Linked DNA regions of Drosophila melanogaster. The gene in region 2 interacts genetically with the main gene of each other region. Each region holds a gene or a part of one and is shown on either strand. Other genes may lie near its edges.

Region 1 (7,774 bases), on a different chromosome or scaffold from region 2:
TAAACATAATTATGTACAGTACAAATACACATAGATTACAATATGATACAGATTTTAGCCCAGTAGGGCTTTCACTAGACTACATTCCCGTTTCTTTCCGCAGAGCAGCAGAATAGGGGTCTCGGCGGCTTCAAGCATTTGACCAGATTTCACCAGTGACCACGCCCACTGGTCCTGTTTCTTAATGCCAAACGTACGCTGTTGCCAACCGCCTACTTCATTATAGCTGAAGAGGTAAAAGTGTTCTTCCTCCGGCTGCGTTACTACCAATAGATATTGCTCATTTCCAACTTTGAATGGAGTTAGTTGTTGAATGCGCTCCTGGAAGCTCAACTGCTGGATGGGCTCAAACAGAATTTCCGCGGAATGAGAGTACCGTTTAAAGATAGCTATGTGTCGACAACCCAAACAGCTGACCAGAAGTTGGTTTCCCTGCATCTCTGCCAGGTCATATGAGCCCTGGATCAGCTGAAGCATTTTGAAGTTATGATTTAAGGGATCCCTATAATGGATGGCCAGGACAGGACGATGATTACTCATGCCACTGGTGAGTATTAGATCCTGTCGGGACTCTACCCCCATTCGAACCAACTTCATAAGGCGCCCATCTGCTGGTAGCACGGATTGCCAATCGGTGAGACTACAGTTGCTCCTCTTCAGACGCAGGACACGAACTTCCTCCTCGGTGCCCAAGAGCAGCAGCACCATTTCCCCCATTTCCAGCAGTTCCATGGCTTCCACTGATTGACGCATTCCCAGCGTATGCGTTTCATTACGGCAACTAATTCTGATCCTGCTGCGCAATCTTCGTGCTGGGCGATGACAGTGGTTCTGCACCTTCACCCGGATATCTCCGGAGTGAAGTCTCATCAGTTGATTGGACACACTCGAGTTGGCCAGGAGGACGCGACGTTCGTGGATCAGGAGCTTGGCTTGTAAAGTCCTACGCTGACATGGAGCAGAATAACCCAAGGGCAGGCTCACCTGCAGTTCCGAAGATCCCCTAAAAGGGCCTTTTACCCAAGTAGACTCCAGACTTTCGGTGTCGTGATCCAGGTAAAGTAGCCTCCTAGGCGAAGTTTGATTACCCAATGCTAGAAGTTCTTGAAACTCCTCTAACGGATTGCTTTGCACTTCCGTCGCTCGCATTCGATTGGGAATTTGACTTTGAAGTCCTGCTAAAACTAGTCCACCTGGGAAGAGAGCTTTGTCCAGAACTAGACTATCGATGTTGTAGTCCTTATTTCGAAAGATGCTGCCCCTGAAACTTTCGCTAAGCTCACGTCCATTCAGATTCATCACATGACCGGGTCCAGTGAACTCCACTCCTCCACGAAAAGTCTTGGCACCCGTGATGCTCTGCGTCCGATTGCTATGCCGAAACACCAAGTTATCCAATTGAATGCCATTGATAGAACGTAGAAGAGGCTTTCCACTCAGCTGAAGGTGCTCAAAAGTCAGTGAACCGAATACCTCCAATGCGTCTCCCTTTAAGGGAATGCGATGTTGTAGAAAGTAGTCCAGATTCATGTTGTTTACGGTTTTCAGATTCAGGTCCTGTTCGACAAAGAGGTTCTTGAACGTTACGGGTGGCCAGGATTGCCCCTTGCCCTGCTGGTATATACTTTGTATCGGAGCTCCATTCACTTCTGGATACTCCAGTTGAAGTTTGCCTATTTTTGGAGCCTGATGAAAGTGAAGATCCGCTGCAATGGCTTCTCCACTGGAGAGGCGGTACAGTGAGGCATTGAATCGTCGTATATCGATTCCGTTTACCAGCTCAAAGTGTGCATCCTGCTCCAAGTGTAGAGTATTAGCTCTAACTAATCCCTGTAGCTCTTGCGGAGCTGTTATCACCTGGGTTTCGTTTGTGGGGCTCCGGCGAAGTAGGGCATCTTCGGCCAATTGAGTGAAGTTAAGATCAATTGGCAGGGAATGCTTACTTTGGATATCCTTTAAGTAGGGTTCCTTCAGTAGAACGTGTCCGGCAATGGTCTGGTTGCCCACTCTCCTGACTGCATGCTGGCGTAGGTAGTCTAGCTGGGATTGGGACTGCTCTTCACCATCCCATAGAGCATCGCCGGTGACTATCAAATTCCGCCAGGGAAGTTGCTGCACTTGCTCCACTCGTTGCTTGAGATCATTTAAAACTGCCTCATTGACAAAGGGACACTTTAGGCTGCCATTGATGTTCAGTTGCTTTAGGTAAAGATCTCCTTTTAGTTCTAAGTCTTTGCGTGTGTCTATAAATTCCTCCTTGGGTACCCCATTTATTCGATTTACATCCACATTGGTGGCCATCATGCGGTCGAAAGTGTAAGCACCACTGATTTGCTGGGGTGTCATTCGCAGTAAGGTGTTGTCGAGCAGGGAACTTAGATCCAAATTATTGATGTGAGGACTTTGCAGGGCATCATTTATTTGGACATCGGCCATGAATGTCTTTTTACCCCGTATTTCCGCGTTAGAATCAGATCTCACCAGGCGATCTAGGTACTCGTCCCATTGGATTCCATTAATGTTCTGCACTTGGACAGCCTTGTCAAATCGTACATTTCCTTCGATCAATAGTTGCTTGTGAAGAAGTAGGGGCTGTTCACCATCTTCCGAAATTTTGGACAGCAGTTCATCGAAGGGCAATCCATTAAGTCGCCGAAAATGAAGATTCTCCAGATGTGGGGTTTCGGTTAGTTCGAGGCGTTGCAGGCTGATATCGTGACCAAGCAGCTGTTGCAATGGCAATCCATTAAGATGACTCACATTCAAATGATCATGAACGTTGATATCATTCGCCACCACCACACGGGCAAAGGTCTTTGTACCCGTAAAGTTTTGGGTGGTGTTTGATTTCACCACTATTTCACTAACAGGTACTCCGTTTATTTCATTGGCTTGAAGTGCTTGAACAGTCAAAGGTGCCTGGAAGTGTTTGTGCCCCGTGATATTAACAGCGTCTCCATGACTCACTGCATCTTTTGCGATCTCCGCCAAACGGGAACTGTAATCCCTGCAAATAACATCGCCCAGTATGGTTGCATTCATAAAGATAATGTGTAGAGTGTTATTTGGGTGAGTATGTTGGTTCTGCTGTCCTCCGCTTAGGAGATGATCCCTCACAGGATGACCGTCAACATAACTGGTGGTCATTGAGGGAACACTAACTCTGGCATGTCCAAAGGTCAAGTTAGTGAGGTTCTGCGGAAAGACTATTGTCATTAAAGTGAATTAAATGAAGTTGAATCTCAACCTGTGGCGTCTGATCAAGAAGGTACGTAGATTGTATATCTTTTCTGGCGAGAGATTGGTTTCCGAGCACTATAAGTGAGTTTGCCGTGTCTCGCAGGACATTTGTGACCGTCAGGGATCCGCGGATGGTTACCCTGCCCGTGTAGTACTGTTGAAGACGTTGTTCCATTGGATCGTCGAGTTGTCTGGGCTGTGGCTGCCACTTGCTCGTATTGCCCACAAAAATGTCACCCGAAACACTCATCTGATTGATGCGAACAGGAGCTGAAAAATATGGATTTGTTAAATGATTTAATGGAATATATCAAGGAGGACACTAACTTTTTATCCATGTATCATTGCTACCGCGATGAAGTACATCGTGGGCAAAGTCAAGTCCATTTACTTGCTGAGCCTCCAAACGCGGAGCAAAGAAGGCGGACATGTAGATATTCGAACTGATCACCTGGGCACGCCGCAGATTAAAGAGACGATCCACCACGAGTCCGTTGAGCAGAGGTGTCTTTAGACTGTTCACCCGGACTCGCGATTGCATAACCAAGCGTCCTTCTATCGAAGTGTCACGACTGCGCAGGAAGAGCGAGTCCAAAAAGTCGTTCCACTGCACTCCGTTTATCTGTTCCACTCGGAGATGACGAACTACACATTCACTGCCACTGGTTTCCTCAGGCGCAATCTGGGCACCACTGGAGTTGCGGAAATCTTGGGGAGTAACCAATTGATTTACCCTAAGCTTTTTCGTCTGCAAAGGACTGTTTCTGATGGTCAACATAGGTGGTTTTGAGTTATCCAAAATGTGGCCTGTAAATTAGGAAGAAAAAAAAGATTTATATCATATTCTATTCCTGAATTCCCATACTTGCCTGAAATTAGCTGTCCCTTGTAGATAAGATTGCCCACGCGCAATCGTCGCGCTTTGAGTGTCTCCGGCTCATCGTTCTCGTTTCCTGTCCCAAAAGAGCGTGTGGTTCGCCTGGTCTGGATCGCTTTAAATCGTTGACGAAGTTCCTCCAAGCGTTGCTTTAATTGGGTGGGCGTGCGCAGATGTTCGTCCACCAACTGAAGTCTTCCTATTTGTCCTTGCTGCACTAGATGCAGTGGCGTGTCGAGGTGGATGGCCGATTTGCGTTTTAAGATGTCCACAATGTTTCTCAGGTTTTCTGTAGAGGAACGACGGCGCAGCAGGAGGCCACGTAAGGCATTGATGGACTCCTCAAACTCGTGACGATGCAATTGGACAACACTTAGATCTGTAAAATCACTAGTTTCAAATTTCCACTACAGAGTTATATTAAATGTACCTTCATCTGGAGCAGCGCCCACTTGGTTGGAGATTTCTTCCACGCCACCCAATTGCACAGTTCGGATCAGATCACTCGAGGATCTTCGATAGGCCAGCAAAAGAAAGGTCTCATTGTGCAAGTTTTTATGAATAAGTAATCCACTTGGATCCGCTTCTCCAGCCACCTGAAATCCACTATAGCAATCCAGGCGAGTGGAGCTGAAGACGATCACCTCGCCATTGGCACGGGCACCAATCAAAAGGTGACCCTTTTTGGTGGCACTCAATCGACGGAAACTCAAATCTTTTCGAGCATGCTTTCGGTACACCACAAATTGTCCATCCACCATTCGGAAGAAAATACACGAGGCAGATGCAGAGGAAGTACAGGCGATGAGGCAGTTCCTCCCGTGAAATCTAACAGCTTGGACACTTTGCGCCTGAACTGTCAAAGCCTGGCGTTGTTGCAGGATTCGGCTGTTTCTATCCAGCTCGTAGATTGTGAGCACCAGCTAGAGGGAAACATAAATGAATTAAGAACCATCTAAATTATTAAAAGTTATATCACCTTTGACTGGGAACCCTTTAAAGAACGACCAAAAATGATATAAAGTGGCTGACGACCAACCACTTGGAGAACGCGAATGGCGGGTAGAGTGATCTCCTCGAGTGGATTAAAGTAGGTGTCCAGCCACTCAAAGGTTCTGTGAGGAAGTCGTCAATATTATGAATGAATAATGAATCAATTTTTAATTGAAAATGTATGCCAATCCCAACCTGCATTTGCTGTGTGATCTGGTGTGATTGGAGGCCACTAGGAGGAGCACCTGATCTCCACTGGGTTTCAAAAGGTGCAGCTGTAGAAAAGCACCTGGCAGCGAGAACTCCTGGAGGGGCTCAAAGCTCACCTGTGTGGCTGGATCTTCGGATAGGAGCAGTTCCTTGGGCAACTGGTAAACCTCCATGGAATCATCCAGAACGATGGCAAGGAGCAGGAACTCCCGCCAGGCCACAACCTCTGCTCCGAGAGCTCTGCGACCACTGACCTGGCCCGCCAAGTAACCAAGCGGCACTAGACGCCTCTCCCCAGTGGCCACGTGCAGCTGAAAAATCTCGTGTCCATGGAGCAGTAAAAGTAGATCCTCTTCCGGTTCGCGGAGCACAAAGAGTGGCTTCTCATGGCGCACCATCATGTCCACAAAGGGCAGACGGATTTCCGGGCCAGAGCTACTGCCATTCAACCCATTGCGACAGGAACTGGGCAGCAGCTGGGCAGCACTCGGATCTCCAGCGACTTCTGCTGCTGATAATTCACTTTGTACTTGGGCGATATAGCTATTTAACACTAACACACTAAATAATGCTGCACACACGCTTGGCGAAATCATTTCGCAAGGATTGCAGGGACTGTTGTATCTAGTGATACTAAACTACAATGATATATTCAATCCATTCACATGGCACATTACTTTTGGTGTGCCATTTCTCTTGTTCGTAACTGTAAACCAATTTATACTTCGTGAGAGAGCTCTAGTATAACTGTAAAATGAAAAGAAATACTGTGAGTGACGGAAAGCGCGCGAAAGACAAAAACTCATCGAACAGTTGTTGTTATTCCGTTACAGTGGAATAAACAGAGTTACTATATGTAGAGTGAAATATGTATATTTTTGTAGTTCCTGGTTTTCCGATTTGAGTTCTCAGCCTGAATGTAGGCAACGGAAAGTGCTTTCATTTGTGCGCTCAACGAGCATTTTTCCCATGTGTCGCATTAGTTTTCCCCGATTTTCTCGGCACTCGTCAGTCAATCCGCGTCTCTCCGTCCTGCTTTCTCCGCCTGCAGCAGTGACACCTTGGACTGGGAATTAAATTTTTCGTACGGGGTTGGGCAGTGGGGAATGGGGCATATAAGGCTGGGGATCTAAAAATAAGGCAGACAAACTTGGAGAGTGCCTTCGACGTTTCTGCTGAATCAATCAGCTTCGATCATTAGTCGAGGTCATTAAAGACATTAAACCTCGAGCCACCAAAAAAAAAAAGATAGAAAGGAAGAGAGCATTTAACACGGAAGAGGGAATCGCATAAAAATAAATTTATATGTACGTATGTATGCACATACATACATATGTATGTGAAATATTTTGGGGGCGGAATGGGCCTTACCAAGTCACCCATAAATCCGCAGCTTTAACCTAAAAGGTGGCCACATTTGTACTTGCAGTTAAATCGGATTTAAGGCACATATAAATATGTATTAATAGGTGTACAAGAGGAAAACGGTATTCATGTCATCGCCCTCGGGGTCAGGATTTGGGGGCATCCGTTGGGAACACCCGCTGAAATATTTACTTTGCCCAAAATCTGATTGATCGCAGCATTGACATGTTATGCAAACAACATTCCAGTGTAACGAATATACAATTGTAAAATAAATAAGAGCAAAACATACAATCGGATGTTAAATTGAGGTGAACTTAAAATTTTGTAGATCAAAATTGGCTTTTATGTTTTAAACTTTCAAAATGTAACTTTCCTGAATGCCCTTTTAAGTTTGTACCATTTCTAGTTGGCTTAGTGCATGGCTAATACCAGCTGTTGGTTTCAGCAGATGTGCTCACTGGTTGCGTGCTGCCGATTTGGTTCATTTCATTTCGGTTTTTGTTGTGTCCTGTTTCTGTTGACCATTTCGAGCAGTTGCCGTCGCGCTTTTCGTGACTAATTAGCAAATTCGCGACACCCGTTTTGGGAGCATTTTTTTCTGCGTTCGTTGTTTGGCGTTTGGCGTCACAGGCCAAAACCCAAGTCACCCCTCCCCCAACACACTAAACCATTAACCATTTCGGACTACCGCTTAACGGTTAACAGAAGCAGCTGATTGTCATGCCTGCGGCTCATCAGCGGGCTCATAACGGCGCTTTTGGAGTGGCGGTCTGTGATTTGAGTGCCTCCCCAATGGGATACTCTTCTGCCAGAGAGAGGACGAGAGTAAGAGCGAGAGAAAACTCTTTCTCCAGTAGCCAAAACTCCCCAAAAAGCGCTCCGCTTACGCACCACTCTCGCTCTCCTTTTTCTCTTCCTTTTCTCCTCGCGAGTGAGTCACGCAGCTAGAGCTAGAGCTGGAAAAACATCGATGCTCGTCGCCGTCGATGTTTTCGATGTTTTATGGCGAGAACATTGACTATCGAAAAATAAACGAAAAATATTACTCTTTCTGTTCTTTTTGTGTGCATTCGTATTCGTATTAAT
Region 2 (6,928 bases):
GCTGTAAACTATTTTTAAGTGTTAAATAAATTAAACAAAGTTGTAATTTCTGGATTTACCATCTGGCTGAAACTCCTTCTTGCAGTTGTAGCAAATCACATTGCCCTTGACTTGAAGCTCGGGCAGAATGGAGCCGCAGGAGGGGCAAAAGCCCGGACAATTGGAAAAAATATCCATGCCAGTATATATCACCCAAAATCAAAATCAAAATACAAAAACCGCACGTGCTATTTCGGATTTCAGTATGAGCGTAACTGAACCGTTTGAAATATACCACACGGTATTAAAAATATACTTGATTCATATACTAAATACGTAAGGGTGGAAAACTAGAATAAGTCTGGTTGAAAGCCTTGATGAAACGGGTAGAGCCGTTTACCCGTTTCGATTACCGGTTCTTAATCAAAATCAATTATTCAAAATAAACTTTCAAAATAGTATTTGATATTCATAGCCAATATTACGTAATGAAAACAGTTAGATTTTAATAGCCAATATCAAGTTATGAAAACAGTAAGATTTTTACTTTTATCTTTACTTTGTATTAAAGTTTACAAAACTATTACATCAATAAGGCGATCTTACGGTCTAGTTAGCTGAAATGCAAGTCGGATGTGTACTGTGTTCCAATTAAACTACCTAAAACTATCACAGGCAGAACATTAACTACGCACTAGAGGTTCCTAACTACAACTAAGCATCTAGGAACTATTGATCCTTGGCTGCCACATATCGCACAGTATATATATATTTAAAATGCAGCTATCGGGTGGGATGACTCTGCGGCATGTTAAGCTCCCAGAGCTTCACATTGTTGTCGAGAACCTCGTGGTACCAGCTCTCCTTTTCCGGCTCCTCCCGGAAGATGGGCTTCAGCGACTTGAGGTCCAACTGCAGTATGGCATCGTTGCCGAGCAGCGAGTCCAGGGATCGCAGTAGAGTACTATTACCGTGCAGTTTCAGCAGGGTCACATACTTGACCACATAGTACTCGTACTGCAGCTTCCTTCTCGCCCATCTTTCCACTGTAGCATTGGCACTAGCCGATCGAATCTGGCCCAGATGGGCGGCAAACCAGGGCGCAAAGTAGTTGTAAAGATCCAACTTGGACAGTCCGTTCAGACCTTTACTCTTGATTCGCTCCTTGATCATGCTGTAGTTCTTCCTGCTGTACACAAACACCTGATACAGCGAATTGCCGGTGGTGTATGAGTTTACGTAGTGGGTGCCCACATCTTCCATAAATCGCACTGCGGAAGTTATATTTCCGATTTGCAGTTGATCCATTCTCGATCGCACATCCGGCTCCAAGGGTTGGTGCACCGGAATCTCAGCGTTAAGACGCCCCGTTTCCCTGAAGCGCACCACCCTCACCAAAACATACGAGTAATCGCCTTGGATGAAAGATGTATTGATGCCCAGCTTCTTGGCCGCATTATCCGGAAACCATCCGCCAGTAAATGCCTCCCACGGTTTGTCCATTCGCTCAATGGAAAAGTCACGGAAGTAGGCCTGGAACAGTTGCCTCCGATTCTCGCAGAACTCCATGTGAAAGTCTCCATGAAAGATTCCGGGCGTGGTGTCTTCATGACTCTCCGCCAGGCCACTCAGATTCTGAAAGAAAAAAATCATTAATTATCTAATTGTCTAGTCAGCTCAATTATCAGGTAATAAATATCAAGTGACATACTTGAATAATCGTATATAATGATCGTTTTCCTAAATCTGATCAAACAAATATAATAAGCGCTCATTCTAACGACAAACGTGGCGGAAGTGAACAATATAATTACAACTAAAAATAGTTTTAAGTGATAACAACTTTAAACCCTATTTTAAAATTTTGATTATACTCCAAATAATTATGGTGATTGTGGTTAAAGGTTAATACAAACAATTCCGAGTTCATCAACGCCATTTAATTTATTAAATGTAAGCTTAACTCTGCCTTAAGTCCCTTACCCTATAGATGTTTTTGGTGGGCTCCTTAAACACCCAGCGATCCGGCTCCGAGTTGTCATTGAGCGGTATCACACGCATGGAGATTCCCAGGTAGCCATAGCGCAGGAATATATTGATGGCCTTGCCGATCCGGAGCTGGGACTCGCGACGACCTCCATCCGCCAGGAGCGCCAGGGTCAGCAGCCAGAAAAGGCCAGGCCACGACCGCATCGCTCAGCATTCAAGGTTAGATCTATAGAGGATTATAATAGAAATATTATATTGCAAATTTAAAGCGATTACACTTGAATTAGGCAAACGTTTCCATATTCCATATCCATATAATCCCTTGCTATAAAATATTATTGATTGAAACAAACGCAACCTATTCCGATCTCTTATAAAATTCGCAATTTAACAATAATGAGGCATATCTATCCCACAATAATTTATTCAAGTGACTAGATAACTCTTGATTGCAATGTGCATATTGATGACAAGCAAGTACAAACAGCGCTATACCATCCGAACTCATTACTCACTTAGACTAAAACCGGAAAGTTTTACAGCAAGCTACTTCGGTGGTTTGTTTATATTTTATAGCCAGTGCAGTAGTTGCGATACAGTGGGGTTAACTAAACAGCAATAATTGCAGGGCCGCCGTGTTTGTTTTCCACTCCATAAACGGGCGATAATATAAGCGCGCTCTAATTGGCCATGAACCTTCAGTGGCGCTGAACTTGAACCGACCAAGTCGACTTGGGTAGAGGCCACCAGCTGGTGGTGATGATGAGCTGGAGCTCTGCGTAGCTCCACTCTGATCACCTTAAGTGGATGCAATTAGCCGCAGGCTCTGTGGCCGTAAAAGCAGCTACAAAGTATAGCCATCAAAATTGGTTCGGCTGTCGCTTTGACTTGCAAATTATTTCCTAAAAACATTTTGCATGCCTCGTAACCGTTTTCCTATAGTTGGCCCACTACACTTCAGAGGACCGGTTATGCCGTTTTTGTTTTTTTTTTTTTTTTTTTCTGTCCAAGCATTATGGCCGGCAAGGAAGCCAAACAAATTGGCCCAAGCCAGACATATACACACATTCTAACAGCTTGGCGAGGCAGCTTTTAATTCGAGCCGTTATCACAGAACGAGCGACGTGTTTGATGGGCCAAAAACACAGAGGTTAGCCGGGTGTTAGCCACGTTTGTGAGTCACACCTGTCGACCCGACGCACTGAAGCGCAGCACCAGACAAAAAAAAAACACAAACGCAGCCATGATGAGACTCAAATGTTAACCATTTACGTGAACCATAAAATGTAGGCGTCGCTAAACTTGTCCAGCAGCAAAAACTAAACAAAAAACAGCAGGAAGAGTGACTGAATGAAACTAGCCGTGAATGGAACAAAGAAAAAGAGACATTTGACTACTGCATCTTGTCTATACTTGCCTATAGTACATATATTACTGCCCATGGGCGCGATTCCAGGAAATATTTGTTTGCACATTTTATAAACACATGAATATTTGCTAAATGCTGCAATCAGCTGTCTTGACCTTACAGATGAACCTCACAGATTGCAATCACTCTACGGATTTAAACATTCTGACTCGGCATAGAATACGATTTCGAAGGCTTCCAACTTCTGGCAAACAACTAATGCCCAAATGAGCTTAGTTCTCCATCGCGAGACCCAGAAAATCAAACTGTCGCACAATTGCCAAACTTGAGGTTCAAAATTTGAGATCCGCTTGAAAGGCATGTGTTATGTGACTTAATGATAGTTAGTTTTGTCGGTGGGGGTATTGACAATAGCGGACGCATAACCTTGTGCAAAAGACCCCAAAAAAAAAAAGAAGCCGCGAACCGGAGTTCGAGATGAAGAAGACGAATTAAATCAAAAATTCAATGCGCGCACTCGGACTCCAAAGCAAAGGCAACTAAAAATCAACTCGTTCAACTGTGACTCCCTGTGCACTGGGAGAAAAGAGTGTGGCTATCTAGGACTAGAACTGAATAAGAGAAGAATCAGTCAGCTCTTAACTCCTCTTTTGAGCTATTTGGAATCTTATTCCAATTGTTTATGCTTTTATCAGATTTAAATCGTTATTAGATTTGTTATTTGGCCTATATTTATCCAATAAGATTTTATAATGTGTATTTTTCTTGGACATCCTAAAAAACCTGCATACATTTCTCTCAGTGCTTCCCACCGTGGTTGTCCGCGGCCCAGTCAATTGGAGATTCTTTATGCGCATTTCATGAGCTCTTTTGTGGTAGTAGTCTGGAGTAAACCCCGGGCGAAGGGCACAGACGTGGGGCATAAGGTCTGCAGTTTATATCGCGCTTAATTTTATGCTTGGTCCGTGTGCGTTGTTTCCTTGAGCGGTGTTAAACAAAAGTTGTCTTGACTGCTGCTGAGGTGCTGCTGCTTTTGCCACTTTTGTGGTAGTATTATTTACCTGCACGAGAACTCGAACGCGAATCGAAATTGACGTAACCATCGGCCAGAAGCGGCTTGTTTTATTTTCGGCAGAAGCTTGAAGCTCCGGCTAATTCTATATGCCAGTCGACACAAATCCGCAGGTCTAGAGTTGTGGCTCGCCACTGGTTAGCCTTATCGCTCTGATACCGGGGGCCATTGCACAAGGCTGGTTGGCTGGCTTTATGGCTGGCATTAGCATCGTTAAGACTCCGATTTTTAACGCTTTGTGGGTCAGAGGTCGGCGGCTTGGTTGGCGCCCTCAAGTGATAAGACGGATCTATGAATAGATCGCTGTGGTTCGAATTACATGCGTTTGCGCAGATTTCAACAACCAACAACGTACACACACACACACACAGGCAGTCGTCAAGTACCCTGAACGGCAAACACTAAAACAGACTTAAAACACACTAAAACGAGCGACGACGTGCCTTCAATTGCAATTATAAGCCGGAATTTGCGGCAGCACTTACACTCAAAACGCGAGCAGCACACCTTCAAGCGCGAAGACTCAAAACCTAACTGAAACTGGCTACCAAAAACTCGATCGCCGGAGAGAACAAGCCGATCCGTTCAAGCAGCTACAGCAGCAGCAACAATATATGTTGCGCTACGACAGCAACATGTTGCTGCTGTGCGTCGTGTCGTCTGATCCAACCGAGCAACTGGCAGCAGTTGCAGTTCAATGACTGGCAGCCAGCAGAAGTTCTACTCCTCCAACGGTAGTGGCTATGGCTAATGCTAATGGCCTGGCACAAATATCTATTGTTGACATCTGCCGTTTGGGGGGACAGCTTTTCCGCTTATTAATATTTCCGAGCACGTCGTTCAACTTCCAGTTTTCTTCAATGGCGCGGGGAGTCGGAGGGCTGCCGAATCGAGGCAGATTGAAATGATTGCAGTTTACCCGGGCCAGACTTGCGCAAGATTCCCATAGAACTGGGCGGCCAGTAATCAAAAACTTTTGGTACTACTTGTGCAAAAAAAAAACTAATAATGAGACCAAAAGTAAGCCGAAAAATAAAAACGAAAACGAAAGTATCAAATTCGCATTACCTTGAAAACATGCTAACAAATTTGGGTCAACTCAAAGTGTTGGGCGACAACGTTTGAAGTTCGAGTGTAATGTTTCAATTAGAAGCTCAAGATACAAATGTATCTGTATCTGTATCTGTTGCTCAAAGAGCCATGGCTGCAGGGCATCCGCTTTGTCGCATTTGCCTTGACTTCCAATGGCCATTGGGAATTTCTGCAAAATTCGCTGCTGGCTTCTAAGAAATGAAAAGGTTCTGATTTGAAGTCTTTTTTTGCTGCTGATATGGGGGGGGGTCTTTCTTTTGGAAGAGGCGTTGGGGGAAGGGCTTCCGAAAAGTATTGCAAAAGCTGGTTGAAATTGTATCTCTCGTATATTTTTCTCTTTTCATATATAGAAGTTCATTTTATTACTTTTGTTTCGGTTTCTGTGTGGGTTTTGCTTTGTCTTTGCAGCATGCATGATTCAAAACTTATGTATTTAAAATTCGGTATTTCAGTGTTTACTCGTTTTTATTTAATTCTCATTCCAGTTTCTTCGGTTCTTTTTCATTTAATTTATTATTATTAATCCCATGTTTAAACTATGTATATATAATGACATTTTTATCATTTATTTTAAATGATATTTACTAACACCGCGGCCTTCTGCGCCCCAAACGATCGATCGATCTGCCGATCCATTCATTTCACTTCATTTATTATTATAATAACAATTCACTCAATTAGCTCAAATCGCGTCAATCTACACATATTGACATTGGAGATCATAAGCATTTTCAACTCATCTTTACCATCGTTACCCTCGGTATCATATCATCATCATAATGATCATTGACTTATGAAATTAGAGAAAAATTCTAATTCATTTGGTTTACGCGACCGTGTTCATCTCACTTCTGCGTCTTCCTTTTCTTTTTTTTTTATGTAATATCAACAATAAATTTTTACTTAATCTTAGTGTGAAATTATTCTTAGAGTACAGCTACAATCTGCTCGCATCGGCTAAGAAAAAAGGATCAAGTAAAAGTACGAAACGAATCATTCGAAATCCTAGCTCAATCTCAGGATACTCTCTGTCGGTATCGTTTTCTTTTTTTACCCCCCATTTCCAATTCATTTCAATCGTTCCTAATCATTGTAATACCGTAAAATATAAGATTTTGATTTGAGCATTCTTTTCCTAATCATTTCATCGATTTTTGGTGTTTTCTGGCACACTTAGCCTGGTTGGGGGAGCTTCAAAATGTACATACATCTATCTCAAGCCGTGTCATCTATAAGGTTCCTCCTCCTATCTGATCTCATCTCATCTCATCTCGTCTCGTCCGTTCGTTCAATCTATCGTTCGCTTTAAGGTATAATACTTAGTTAATTTGGCCACTTGGCTGCATTTGTGGTTGTGGGTAGGTAGTTAGTTCTTCAGTTTTTCGGGTAGGTTCGGTTGTTCTTCTTTTTTGGGATACTTCTATGAT

Evidence for each region.
Region 1: of tsl (region 2) and fs(1)M3, changing one suppresses a phenotype caused by changing the other (phenotypic suppression), as found in Drosophila melanogaster (one study listed by BioGRID).

Annotation. Positions count from the first base shown.
Region 1 is NC_004354.4:5,958,242-5,966,015, forward strand, and holds the start of fs(1)M3 (female sterile (1) M3), read right to left. Parts: upstream 6,007-7,774; 5' UTR 5,917-6,006; coding exon 5,306-5,916; intron 5,233-5,305; coding exon 5,097-5,232; intron 5,041-5,096; coding exon 4,548-5,040; intron 4,497-4,547; coding exon 4,110-4,496; intron 4,048-4,109; coding exon 3,568-4,047; intron 3,511-3,567; coding exon 3,248-3,510; intron 3,196-3,247; coding exon 55-3,195; 3' UTR 1-54.
Region 2 is NT_033777.3:21,777,590-21,784,517, forward strand, and holds tsl (torso-like), read right to left. Parts: upstream 4,948-6,928; 5' UTR 4,895-4,947; exon of another isoform or gene 4,399-4,894; intron 4,317-4,398; exon of another isoform or gene 4,129-4,316; intron 2,195-4,128; 5' UTR 2,173-2,194; coding exon 1,963-2,172; intron 1,615-1,962; coding exon 763-1,614; 3' UTR 525-762; downstream 1-524. Other genes in the region: Polr1H (RNA polymerase I subunit H), read right to left, coding at 1-8, 60-177.